3 linked regions of the Rhinolophus ferrumequinum genome follow. The protein of the gene in region 2 purifies or fractionates together with the protein of the main gene of each other region. This does not show direct contact. Links are inferred from orthologs where the notes say so. Each region holds a gene or a part of one and is shown on either strand. Other genes may lie near its edges. The genes, in order: PTGFRN, CD9 and IGSF8.

The links.
Region 1: the proteins of CD9 (region 2) and PTGFRN purify together in Homo sapiens (co-immunoprecipitation; 8 studies listed by BioGRID and IntAct, with this or other methods). This does not show direct contact. The link is inferred for Rhinolophus ferrumequinum from reciprocal best matches to the Homo sapiens genes CD9 and PTGFRN.
Region 3: the proteins of CD9 (region 2) and IGSF8 purify together in Homo sapiens (affinity purification with mass spectrometry; 5 studies listed by BioGRID and IntAct, counting the BioPlex papers as one, with this or other methods). This does not show direct contact. The link is inferred for Rhinolophus ferrumequinum from reciprocal best matches to the Homo sapiens genes CD9 and IGSF8.

What each region holds. Positions count from the first base shown.
Region 1 is NC_046305.1:47,028,130-47,031,873, forward strand, and holds the start of PTGFRN (prostaglandin F2 receptor negative regulator), read left to right. Parts: upstream 1-988; 5' UTR 989-1,327; coding exon 1,328-1,376; intron 1,377-3,744. UniProt on the Homo sapiens protein: Inhibits the binding of prostaglandin F2-alpha (PGF2-alpha) to its specific FP receptor, by decreasing the receptor number rather than the affinity constant. Functional coupling with the prostaglandin F2-alpha receptor seems to occur.
Region 2 is NC_046293.1:23,516,576-23,520,319, reverse strand, and holds the start of CD9 (CD9 antigen), read right to left. Parts: upstream 2,376-3,744; 5' UTR 2,226-2,375; intron 1,919-2,225; 5' UTR 1,807-1,918; coding exon 1,741-1,806; intron 1-1,740. UniProt on the Homo sapiens protein: Integral membrane protein associated with integrins, which regulates different processes, such as sperm-egg fusion, platelet activation and aggregation, and cell adhesion.
Region 3 is NC_046305.1:28,434,363-28,438,106, reverse strand, and holds the start of IGSF8 (immunoglobulin superfamily member 8), read right to left. Parts: upstream 2,447-3,744; 5' UTR 2,432-2,446; coding exon 2,309-2,431; intron 1,607-2,308; coding exon 1,558-1,606; intron 450-1,557; coding exon 72-449; intron 1-71. UniProt on the Homo sapiens protein: Member of the immunoglobulin superfamily (IgSF) that links tetraspanin-enriched microdomains to the actin cytoskeleton and plays several important roles in innate and adaptive immunity.

The sequences.
Region 1 (3,744 bases), on a different chromosome or scaffold from region 2:
ACATTTGTTAGCGGAATAACAAACACTTGTCAGTGGAAAGAATAATGCCTCCGCGTAAAAGTGTGTTTCTCTCCCCAACTTAGGCAGTTTCCCCACTAACATCTGTGATTTGTTTTGCATCTATTAGTGTGAGACTGTGGTGTGTGTGGGGGGGCAGGGGGCCCAGTGCTGCTCCCAGTATGTTTAAATTATCCTTGTGAAGTTCTACACAATGAACACTAAAAATTTCCGCCCCCAAGACTGGGCCTTTTGTATTCAAATCAAAAGCACAAAACCCTATTGTGGGGGGAAAAAAGGATCTATTGGCCACCAGTTGCGACCACTTAAAGGACATTCCATGTAAAGTACTGTAGCTATTAATACACTTGAGTGTTTTCTTTTTTGTTTTGTCTTTCATGGGCGTGTGTGAGAAGTGTTCTCGTAGCCCATAGGCACCACGGAGAGGGAAGAAGGTGGGCGAGGGACGGTGAGGCCCACCCAGCCGCAGGGCAGTGAGCAGAGCTGTGAGATTGGGGTCCTGGTTTTGCCACTTCGCTGTGAATCCTTGGACAAGTCACCTAAACACTTAAGGCCGCTGTACCACAAGGAGGATGTTATCCATGGCCTTTAACGTGCTTCCATGTCTTTCAGTCCTATCTGAATAATTTTTCGCAAGGGCCACGCTGCCTGGTTGGTGGGGTGCTTAGCTTGGGACCTGGGGGTGAACGTGCGGGCAGTTAGCCGAGGGAACAGGAGACAAGCGTGGGTGATTCCAGAGCGGTGGAACGCTGGGTGTCCCAGAAAGGAGCTAAAGCGATGGGATTTCCAGACGAGTCTTTCCAAGGCCAACTTTTAAAGGTCGGAGGAAAGTTTGTCGTGGGGCGGGAGCCCGAGGGGAGAGCTGGGTGGGCTCCGCCGCCTCCTCCCCTTTAAGCGGGCGGTCCCGGCGCTCGCTCCGTTACCTGGAGCGGGGAGGGGCTTGGGAAAGTTTGTGTTTGTTGCTGGCAAAGCGCCCGATGGGAGGCGCGGGCGGGCGGGCGCTGCGGTTCTTCCCTTTTGCTTTCGGGAAGCGGCCGGGGCTGCTGGCTCGGCGCAGCGGGGCGGCTCTGGCGCCCGGCTCCCGGGGCCCGGCCGGCCGGAGGAGGGCGGGGAGGAGGTAGGCGGACCGGCGGGAGCGCGGGGCGCACGTCCGCCCAGCGCTGGGATTGCTCGGCTGGCGACGAGAGCGGAGCAGGCGCGCGGCCCAGGCGGAGGAGCCGACTCTGGAGCAGCCGGAGCTGGAGGAGGAGGAGGAGGAGAGGCGGCGGGGAAGGAGGAGGAGGCGGAGAGTCACTCCCGCCCGGCGAGCATGGGGCGCCTGGCGCCCAGGCCGCTGCTGCTGGCGCTGTTGTCGCTGGGTGAGTGCGCGCGGGGCTTGGCGGGGCGCGGGGACCGTGGGGCCCTGGGGGTTCGGCGGGGCGCGGCTGCAGCGCGCGGCCTGGGGCGCCGAGGGTGCCGGGGCCACTCCCGGGAGACCCGGCCGGGGGACGCGGGCGGCGCGGCCCGGCGGGGAATGACCGCGGGGCCTCCGGGAGCGAATCCGGCCCGGCAGCGCGCGGGGTACCTGTCCCGGCGTCGCCAGGCCGAGCCTCGCCCCCCACACGTGCGGGGGGAGTGGCTCGTGACCCGCTGCCCCCAGCCCTCCCTACCTGTTGGCCGCCCGGAGCCGGGCTCACCTTGATCGCAGGCCCGGAAGGTGCCTGCGGTCCCCGATCAGTGTCCCCAGCTTGGGAGCGGAAATATGCGCCTTTGATCTACCTGGTGGTAGTCGAGCCCCGCCGACTCGCTCCTCACACACAAACCCAGGATGAGTTGCCTTTCTTGGGAAGCCAGACAATCCACCAACTTCCTTCTACGAAGGTCACGAGGTGGCCCAGAGCGCTACAATAGAAATCAGTGTGCGAGTCCTTCTGTCATGTTGGCTGTGGTTAGAGCTTCTGCCTGAGTCTTTTCCTTTATTTCTTCTGGAAACTGCCTAGCTCCATATTTACACACAAAGACCTACGAGGCTTGGCTTCTCCAACTTTTCCTACCTGTTACTTTTTCTGCCTTTCCTGTCCCCTGTCTTCCACCCTTCGCAAACCTCGGTGCCTCTTGATAAATTGGCCCAATGCCCTCCCCCAACCCAAGGAATCTTTGGTGGGTTTTTTTCTCTTCGTTTTCCTTTTACTCCATGCATACAGACACCATCTTCAAAGCAGATACATATCGTTGTCTTGGTATATTAACATAACTATGTGGGAATCAGCCACAGAAATACATCTGTTTATTAAGTGCCCACCGTGGTGCCCCAGGGCTGACCCTTATGTGCTTTGATATTCTTGAATCCTTTTGGTCTGTGTCAGAAGAGAAAGAATGCTGTTACCTGACCACCGGTTTCCTTCCAAGCCTTTGGAGAAGGCAGATCAGAATCTTTTGCAGAGTGCATGGCGTGGGGTGTCTGTCCCAGCCAGGCCCCAGCTGCACACGGGGTAAATGACTACTCTGCACTTACGGTCTGAGGGTCCCAGTGGAGGACCTCCACAGCCGCTCCCATCCTGATGGCTCCAGGGCACCCACTGTCCCAACCCCCATGCCTCTTGCTGCTGGTGGGCCAGGCTTTCTGCTGCTACTGTGTTCTCTTCGCCTCCGAGGGGTTTTCTGGAACTCACTCCCCAAGAGAGCTTATCCAGCCACATTGTTTTAGCTGCGACCATTTGCAGAAAGCTTCCAGATCTTTCACTTAGTTTTGAAGCCTCTCTTCTGTGATCTCGGATCCTAGGGCTTTTATTCTTTTCTTTTCACTCTGGGACCCTTGTAAGATCGTTTGTTTCGTACTGCTGGTGATAGTCCATAATAGTTAATGGGCTCATGTGTTTGGGTCAAACAGGGCCATGGCTAATGGTTGCACAGACTGTGCACTGCACAACTGGGAACTGCTGTTCACTTCATAGTCTCTGTGAGAATGACTCCCCCTAGAGTTGTGCAGGTCACAACCTGTGTATCAGTAAAGGTAGACGTTTGGAAAAAAAAATGCCCTTGAATAGCTATGATAAGGGAGAAAAAGGGAGAGAAGAAAGGGCAAAGGGAGAAAATAGAAGTGGCAACGCAAAAACAAGTGGAGGAAGCGCAGCTTGGGGAGATCTTCATTATGTACCAGTGTATCCCGCCCTGGCTGGACATCTCATGTTAACTACACACGGGTAATGTCTGTGGTGTCCCCAGCCAATGTCTTATCCCCTAGCAGGTCCCTGAACTTGAACCTGATAACTCTGCCCCACAGAACCTCACTCCGAATGGCTTCAGTCTGACCTTCGGGGAGGCCTCCCTATTGTACCACTCTAGTACTGTCCTGATTCCTGAAACGTAATATGTTGATAAGCAAGATCGTCTTTCCTCTCGTATTGCAACCGGGGCATAGTCTTGCCGTCACTTTCTTTGACTTCCATGTTCACTCTGTCCCTCAGTCCTGTGGCTTTTCCCATAGCGCAAACTCCACGGTTTTCCCGTCCTTCCTGTTTCTACAGCTACTATTCTAGCCCAAGATGTGATACTTCCCCACACGGTTCACTTCTGACATCTTCCTGGTTGACTCTTTCCACCAGCCTCCCTTCTAAGGTCATCATTTTCCTAAAGGATCAGCTTTGGGGGTCCTGCCTTTGTGTGCTGGTTTTCTTTTTCTTTTCTTTTTTTTTTTTTTTTAGGACTTTTTTTTTTTTTTTTTAAGAAAGATAGGCTTCCCCTTGT
Region 2 (3,744 bases):
TTGTGCCACTGGGAAGATGGGGGTATGGAGGCACACTGGTAATCTGTGGTTCACTCTCGCCCCAAACCCTGATGCAGCCTAGGAGGAGAGCTGAGGACTAACCAACAGACTGGCAGGGGAGAGACTGTGCTAGGGAGGGGAGGAAAACTCCCCAAAGGAGAAGAGTGGGGTGGGTTGGGGCGGGCTGCCTTCGACATTCTTTTCTGGTGCTGGGGTTGATGAGAAGAGGAAGCCGAGCCTGGCAGTTATAGGGGCTGGGTGCTGGGAATAGGGGATGGGAGGGGGTGAAGGGTGCCCACCACAGGAGGGTCTCCCCAAAGCAGGCCAAGGGTTGGGCAGGGGCACACCTGTGTGCCAGCCACACTAGCACGTGTTGGGTGTGGTGACTCTTGCAAGGGCAGCTCAGTATCTTACCCTGTCAGCTCTGGAGAAAGGATTAAATTTCAGGAGATTTGCCCCGAGGATTGTGGGGATCCCAGGGACCAGCTCCAAGGGAATCAGTACATTTTTTTTATAAGCCTCCGGTGGCATGCCCGTTTTTACAGCCGTCTCTCTTGCGTGGCACAGGGGCTACCTTTCCAAACTCCTTCCTGACTGCAGAAAGGCAAAGACCGTTCATCTATGTGCAGCGGATGTAGCCCTCAAAACCAGAACACGAAGGTTCCCTATTCCTTGCTTCCGTCTCTGGGTGGTCCCTTAATCCTCCAAGGGAAGGTGTGGAGGAGACACTCCCCTTTTCTGCTGCCTCCCTCAGGGTTCCTATTGCAGAAAGGCTGAGTGCGGCCAGCAGCGGGAGTCCTGGAGGACGGCCAGGTGTCCTCTCCAGGTGAACGCGCGCTTTCGTGGCCACGCCTTGCCACTCGGGGGAGGTGGGGGCGGAAGGGGACGAAGCCAGAGGGCTCTGGGGCCCGCACCTAATCTCTCCCGGAACTGGAGAAATCCCACTAAAAGTGCGCACTTGCATCTGCCCCTCCTCTCCCCAACTCTCCCAGCGTTCTCCCCAGTTCAGATACTTATCGCCCTTGAAAAAAAAATCAAGACAAGCTAGTCTTTCAGGTAGTTTCGAGGGAGCTCGGACATTCTCGTGGCGGCTCAGAATCAGAGTTTGAGAGAATTGAGGGGGCTGAAGGTTCCTCCTTGAGGGTGGAGGGGGGTGGTCCCGCCTCTCACTTAGGGACCGGGACCGGCCATCCGCACTCCTTCCTCTCCAGTGTAAAAGTGCCAACAGCTCCTGGCGGAGCTCTCCCTGAGCCACTAAAGTCCTTTAGGGCGCCCGCACCCTCCCCTCATCGCGGCCCTGCCACTTGTGAGACCTCACCTCGGTCACGAACTGCACTCTCCGCTACCGTCCTGGGCCAGGGCCTCGAGTTCCCGGGAGGGGTGCTCCGTTTCTCCCTAGCGGCTCCACTCCCTCCCTCACCGTACTCGCAGGGGCACACACAGCCCGGCCCACACCCTTAGCGAAGGAGCGGCCTGGAGCGGGTCTCTACGCCCCAGCTCGCTGGGGACCCCGTGTCTTCCTGCCTGCCCGGCTTCGGAGAGCCCCCTACAAACACAGCCGCCCCGCCCGTCTCCGGACCCGGCGGCGCTGCCAGCTGGCGCCCGCCGTGCCCTTTCTCCTCGGCCCGGAGTCTACCCGGCGGGCGGTTTTAGTTACCCGTACCCGCGACCGCGGACAGGGTCCCTGGGGCGGACAGGTGGCCCCGGAGAGAAGCACGCGCGGTTGTCGCGCTCACTCACCCAGAAGATGAAGTTAAAGCCGAAGAGCAGGTATTTGATGCACTTAGTGCCTCCTTTGACCGGCATGGTGCGGGCTGGATTGGCCTGAACTGCACTGGTGTGGGACCGGGGCGCGCGGCGGGGACGGGCAGGACCAGGTTGGGACCGACGTGCGGGTGGCTGCCGCTTGGCCTCCGGGCTGCACTTTTAAAAAAGTGCCACTCGGTACGGAGCCCTGTAGGCTGCAGTGCGCATGTGCCGAGGACCCCGCCCCGGCCCCGCCCCCGGCCCCACCTGCCCCGGCCCCCGCCCGCCGCCCGCCCCCGCCCAGGTTCCCGAGATTCCAGCCCCTGCAGACCCCCATCCGCGCCCTTCCCTCTTTCTCCCATAGTTTCGGGCTCCGTCCGCTCCCCACCGACTTGGCGGTCCCTTTCTTACGCCATCCACCCCCTTTCCTCCCAACCGTCTAGGGGTCTTTCCAGACTGCCACCCCCTGCTGCTTTAACCTGGGCGTTTTGTGGCAGCCTCGCCGTTCTGGTTCTCGCCTGGTCGAGTCCGGGCTTCCTGCCCGAGGCCTCCACTTTGAGAGACCTTCTCCGGGTCAGGTCGTCGGGATATAATCCCCTTACTCAAGGCTGGCTGCCCGCACAATGAGGGCACTTCGTGTTTTGGCTTCGATTTGAAGGGAAGCTGCCTGGCTTTATTTCTTCCTGGGGCGGCTCCGTGCAAACCTTCACTCTTTGAGCACGGTTGTATTTGGCACCTCATGTGGAGTAGCAGGAATTAGAAGCTTGCAGTCCAGGTGGGAAGATAGGTCGGCGGCTTACCGAAATAATTCTAAATGCCCGTCACCAAATAGTAATATGTCTGAGGGTTGGGCAATCCGGGAGCGTTTCCTAGACTTGTGGTTTAGATGCCCCGAGAGGGGAAGATAGTTTGTTGCCCAGCTTCCCTCTTGCCTCTACTGCACACCACCCACCCTCTTGCCTTTTGGACTTCGTCCACTACTCCCTCTTTAATGCTCTGGATACCAAGTTCTGTTCATGTTTTTCATCTGCTCAAAGGTCTCTGTAGCTCCCCACATTCAATGACCTAAGTGGAAATAACTTATCTTGCATCTGTAAGGAACCACTCTGCTCTGCCCAGCACTCCACACATTTGTTGGCCCGGCTTTGCATGTGCCAGTGGTGTGTGCCCTAAGGCTGGTTGGCCCTCCCCTCTTCACTTGCAGAAATTCTGTGGCTCTTGAAACATTTCTTTCCTGATTCTCACCAAAGGATGAGGACGTTTCCCTTCTTCTGTTGTCCCAAAACCCCTCTGCATTTTTTTCAAAATGAAGTGTCCTTTAGTGTTCTTTTTGTTTTTTTATTACAAAAGCAAAACATACTCAATACAGAAACATCAGAATAAGACCAACAAGCAAAAAGAATGTAACTCAAAATTTCACCCATCAGCAGCAACTGGTAGCTCTTATTTAGCTGTTTATTTTCATTGTTAGATTTATCTCCATTCATTCAAAAACATTTTTCACTGTCTACTTATGAGGGTACAGCATTAGGAGCAGGAAGGAGCTGATCCTGTTTTTGCCCTTAGGGAGTTCTGAGTCCACTTGGGGAGGTATGCAGGCAGGCTGGCAAGGGGATTAGAGTGCTGTATATACTATATGTGTGTATATGTGTGTGCGGCAGGGCTAAGGGAGCTCAAAGGAAGGGCCTCTGACCCAGACTTGGAAGCAATGCTGCAGAACCACAGGGAAAGTTACTGCAGTCGTCAGAGAATCTCGGGTGATGCCTGGGGCTGGGGCTGTCTGGGGTCTGGGCTAGAGCTCACAGGGGGGCATGGGGGCAGTATGTGGGGAGGTGAAGGTAGCGACCTAGCTAGGGGTGGGGTGAAGGGAACCTCGCAGCCCCTGACTTTGCATTCTGAAGGATTCTATTGGCTGTGTGATTTAGTTCATTTCTCATCTGTATGTTAGTTGAGTGGGGGAGGGCAGAAGGGGCAGGCAGTTGGCCCCTTAAGGATAAG
Region 3 (3,744 bases), on a different chromosome or scaffold from region 2:
GGTCCCTCCTGGCCCTGACTTTCTGCCCTTTTTTTTGGGGGGTGGCCCTGCCCTTTCCTAGGGCCCAGTACCTCTCAGTTCCACCTTGCCGCTGTAGCTGCCCAGGTAGTGGGCATCAGTGGAGGGTGTGTAGCACTCATAAACGCCAGCGTCCTGGGCCTGCAGGCGGGTGATCTTAAGCACCACAGCATCACCCTGCAGATGTTGCACCTGTACCTCACCAGCTGCCACGCGGGGCCCAAAGACAGCATAGGAGAAGTGGCTATCCCTGGTACTGACAATGCCCAGTGCAGCCTCTGGGGCCTCGGGCCTGTACAGGAACCACTCAAAGTCCTGCTGGTCAAGTCCCTCATAGCCAGTGACATTGCAGGAGATGGAGATGGCTGTGCCAGCCACGCGGTACAGTGGCCCCTCGGGGACCAGCACCTCTCGGGCACAGCACCGGACTCCTGTAGGGAAAAAGAGGAGAAGTTGGGGATCCTTGGTCCCCATTGCATCCCCCCACTACCAGCACCATTATTGACCCCTGCCCCTGAAAGGAAAGGAAATCTGGAGAAAGTTGGTATGCAGCTTAGGCAGAGTTCTGAGAATAGGGTAAGGATGCTGGCAGGTAAGACACCTAGGTCCCAAAGAGCTGGTCCAGAGCCAGGTTTACCTCAGAACCCAGAAATATGCCATTTCTGACAGGCCAGAATCAGAAAGAACATCTTTTTCCTGTTGTAACCATTTTCTGATTCCAGCTGTACCTTGATTCCCTCCTCCCAACCTCCAGTCTCATGTCTGTGGTTCCCATTCTGGCCTGGTCAGTGGAGCCTTCTAGCTAAGGGATTCTGAGACCACATATTCCCCTCCTTTGTTTGAGAGGAGCTGGCAAAATCTTGCTCAGAAGGGCTGGTTGGCTTAGCTGTGTCACCTGGGCCAGGGGACTCCAGACAATGGAGCCAGTGGCCCAAGCTGGACAGGACAGAGACAATGTCATTTCTCACCACACAATGCCCTCCTCCCTCCAGCTGTGCCATGAGCTCACTGCTTCCCCTACCCCACAGAACTGCTGAGGCAGCTGAGGCTTATGGGGCAAGAACCAGGCTCTACTCTGGGCTCTGGGGGCAGAAGATCCCTTCCCCCCCAGTGCCTGCCAATCTTCCAGGCTAGCCCAGCTGATGCCCAATTACCCCCCCACACCCCCAACAAAAGCCTTTATTTACATATGGTTCCTTTTCTGTAGGGAACCACAAAATCCCCAGCTGCCCCTTCTCTTCTTTCTCTCCTCCAGACCCCACCCTGCCCCAGCAGATACTCTGGCAGTTTAGAGGGCTCAGCTTCTCTCCTTCCATCCTATCCCCACTAGATAATATCACAGAACCCCAGAATGTAACGAGGGCTGGGACAGAGCCCTGCCTCCATTTTACAGATGAGAAAGGTAAGGCAAGAGAAGTACACTGTCTTGGCTAAGATCCTACTGTCCTTAGATGGTTCCACACATCCCTGCGGAGGGACAAAGCCAGAGAGGCCGATAGGGAGCGCCAAGGCAAGTGAGGCCTGAGGAGATGATCTCACCAAACAGAATGTCACTCCCAGGGGTACCCCGACAGCCTGTCCCCAGGGGCTAGAAGAAAACACCGAGTTTGTGCTCAATTGCTGTCCTCCAGAAGTGCTCCCTCCTCTTGATTCTCCCACCTGAGCCCAGCTCCTTGCCCTTCCTTCTGTGGCTGAGTCATGAGGAGAACTGTGGTCACTTGGTTAGAGCACAGGCTGGAAGTCTGTCCCATTCCTATCTCCAGCTATATGGCCTAAATCCATCCCTTCCTTTCCCAGGCCTCAGTTTCCATACTAAGGAGAGCTAAGAGCTTCCATTCAGATAGTGAGTTAGTGTGACTCAGGAGGGTCCTGCCTGAGAGCACTTCATAATCAGGGTGCTGGCAAAGATGGCTGAGCTGACACCTTCCTCCAGGGCCTCCACCTTCCCCAGCCATCAGGCTGACTCCACTCTGAAGGGCCCCCTCCCACCTTCCTGGCTCCACAACTGCTGATGCTTGGCGATCTCATGGGAAAGTCACCCCCAGTGCCTTAGGAAACCAGCTGCCTGGCAGTTCTCTCTCCAGCCAGGTCCGCTCCTCTGTGTTAGCAGAGAGGGAAGGGAGAGAAGAGAGACTTGCTTTGTAGTCAGACAGATCTGGGTTCAAATCCTAACCCCAACACTTACGAGATGAATTCTCTGGGCAAGTTACACCATTTTCCTCATCTTTGAAATAAATATAAGTGCCCCCCGATTTCGGCAGGCTCTTCCATCTCTGTGCATCACACTTACCCATCTCCCGTGGGCTCCTCTCTGCTCCACACTGCCCAGTGGGGAAAACAGGCCAAATGCTAGGCAACTGGTCCCTCTGACATCCTTCTGCCTCCCGCCCAAGGCCCCAAGGAGAGGACTCATTCTAGTTCCACAGGGCCTAGGGACCTGTTCAGCAGAGGGAGACTCTGCTGGTGCCGTTGTAGAACTCTGGTCTAGAAAAGGGAGCTGGGGCTACATCAGCCTAAGCCTAGACTATAGCAGCTACAAATCCTGGCAGCCAGGCTACCCCCACCTTCACCCTCGTCCCCCACGCCATGCTCTTATTTTAAGGGCTTCAGTCTCCTGATCATCTGTACAGGCAGTCACCCTGTCTTGATGCCACACTCCTCCCCAGACCATCTCCTATAGGAAGCCCTCCAGTTTATGCCAAAATCAATCCCATAGTCACTGCCCTCATGCATCCATGCAACAGTGGCCCAGGACACCCCACCATGAACACCCACCATGACAGAAACAGGGTGTTTGGAAATCCCAGCTCAGTCTCCATGGAGCCTGGTTTCTCCCCAGGCAGGGAAGCTGGGACTAAGGTGGTGTGACAAATGGTGGGAAGCTACCCTGTTTCCCTGAAAATAAGACTGGGTCTTATATTAATTTTTGCTCCAAAAGACGCATTAGGGCTTATGTTCAGGGGATGTCTTCCTGAAAAATCATGCTAGGGCTAATTTTGCGGTTAGGTCTTATTTTCGGGGAAATAGGGTACAGAGCCAAGTGCCATCTGGAAGAGGGCAGGTGGGGCAAAGAGGGACCCAGCCCAGGTCAGAGATGAGGGGTGAGAGAGGGAACAGCGCCCAACCTCAGATGAGGGGTGTGTGTGTGTGTGTGTGTGTGTGTGTGTGTGTGTATGTGTGTGGGGGGGTGCAATCCGGGGAGACTTACTTCAAAGATCATGAGCAGAACCGGCAACCGGGCCTCCAGCCAACTCCGGCAATTATGAAGGCCCGCAGGCACTGCCCACGCAGGGCGGGCACCCCAGGCTGGGCCTGAAGCTGAGTGTGAGGCAGAGAGGAGCCACAGCATTTGGGCGCAGCGACCTTAGGATGTAGGTGTGCTTGCTGAGAAATGGGGTCTAGCCCTCCCGGAGGCCTGGCAGTCCCTGGCAGATGGGTGCTCACTGCCCCAGCCTGGGGCCTACAGCTGAAGGGACTTCACCCCCCTCCCCCCAGGCTGGCTGGGTGATCTGGAGGCGCCGCTGACGGAGAAGGAGGTGCGAAGGGCTCCGAAATGCTAGGGAAGATGGCCCGGCTAAGCGCCTGGTGGCAGGCACCTGCCGGGCAAGGTTGAAGGCTAGGGCAGGGGCCGGGCTTACCTAGCATTAGCAGCAGCAGCAGCGGCGGTGGCGGCGTGGGACCGAGGGCACCCATCCTGCGCGGCCGACTCTCGGGAGGTTCCGGGGG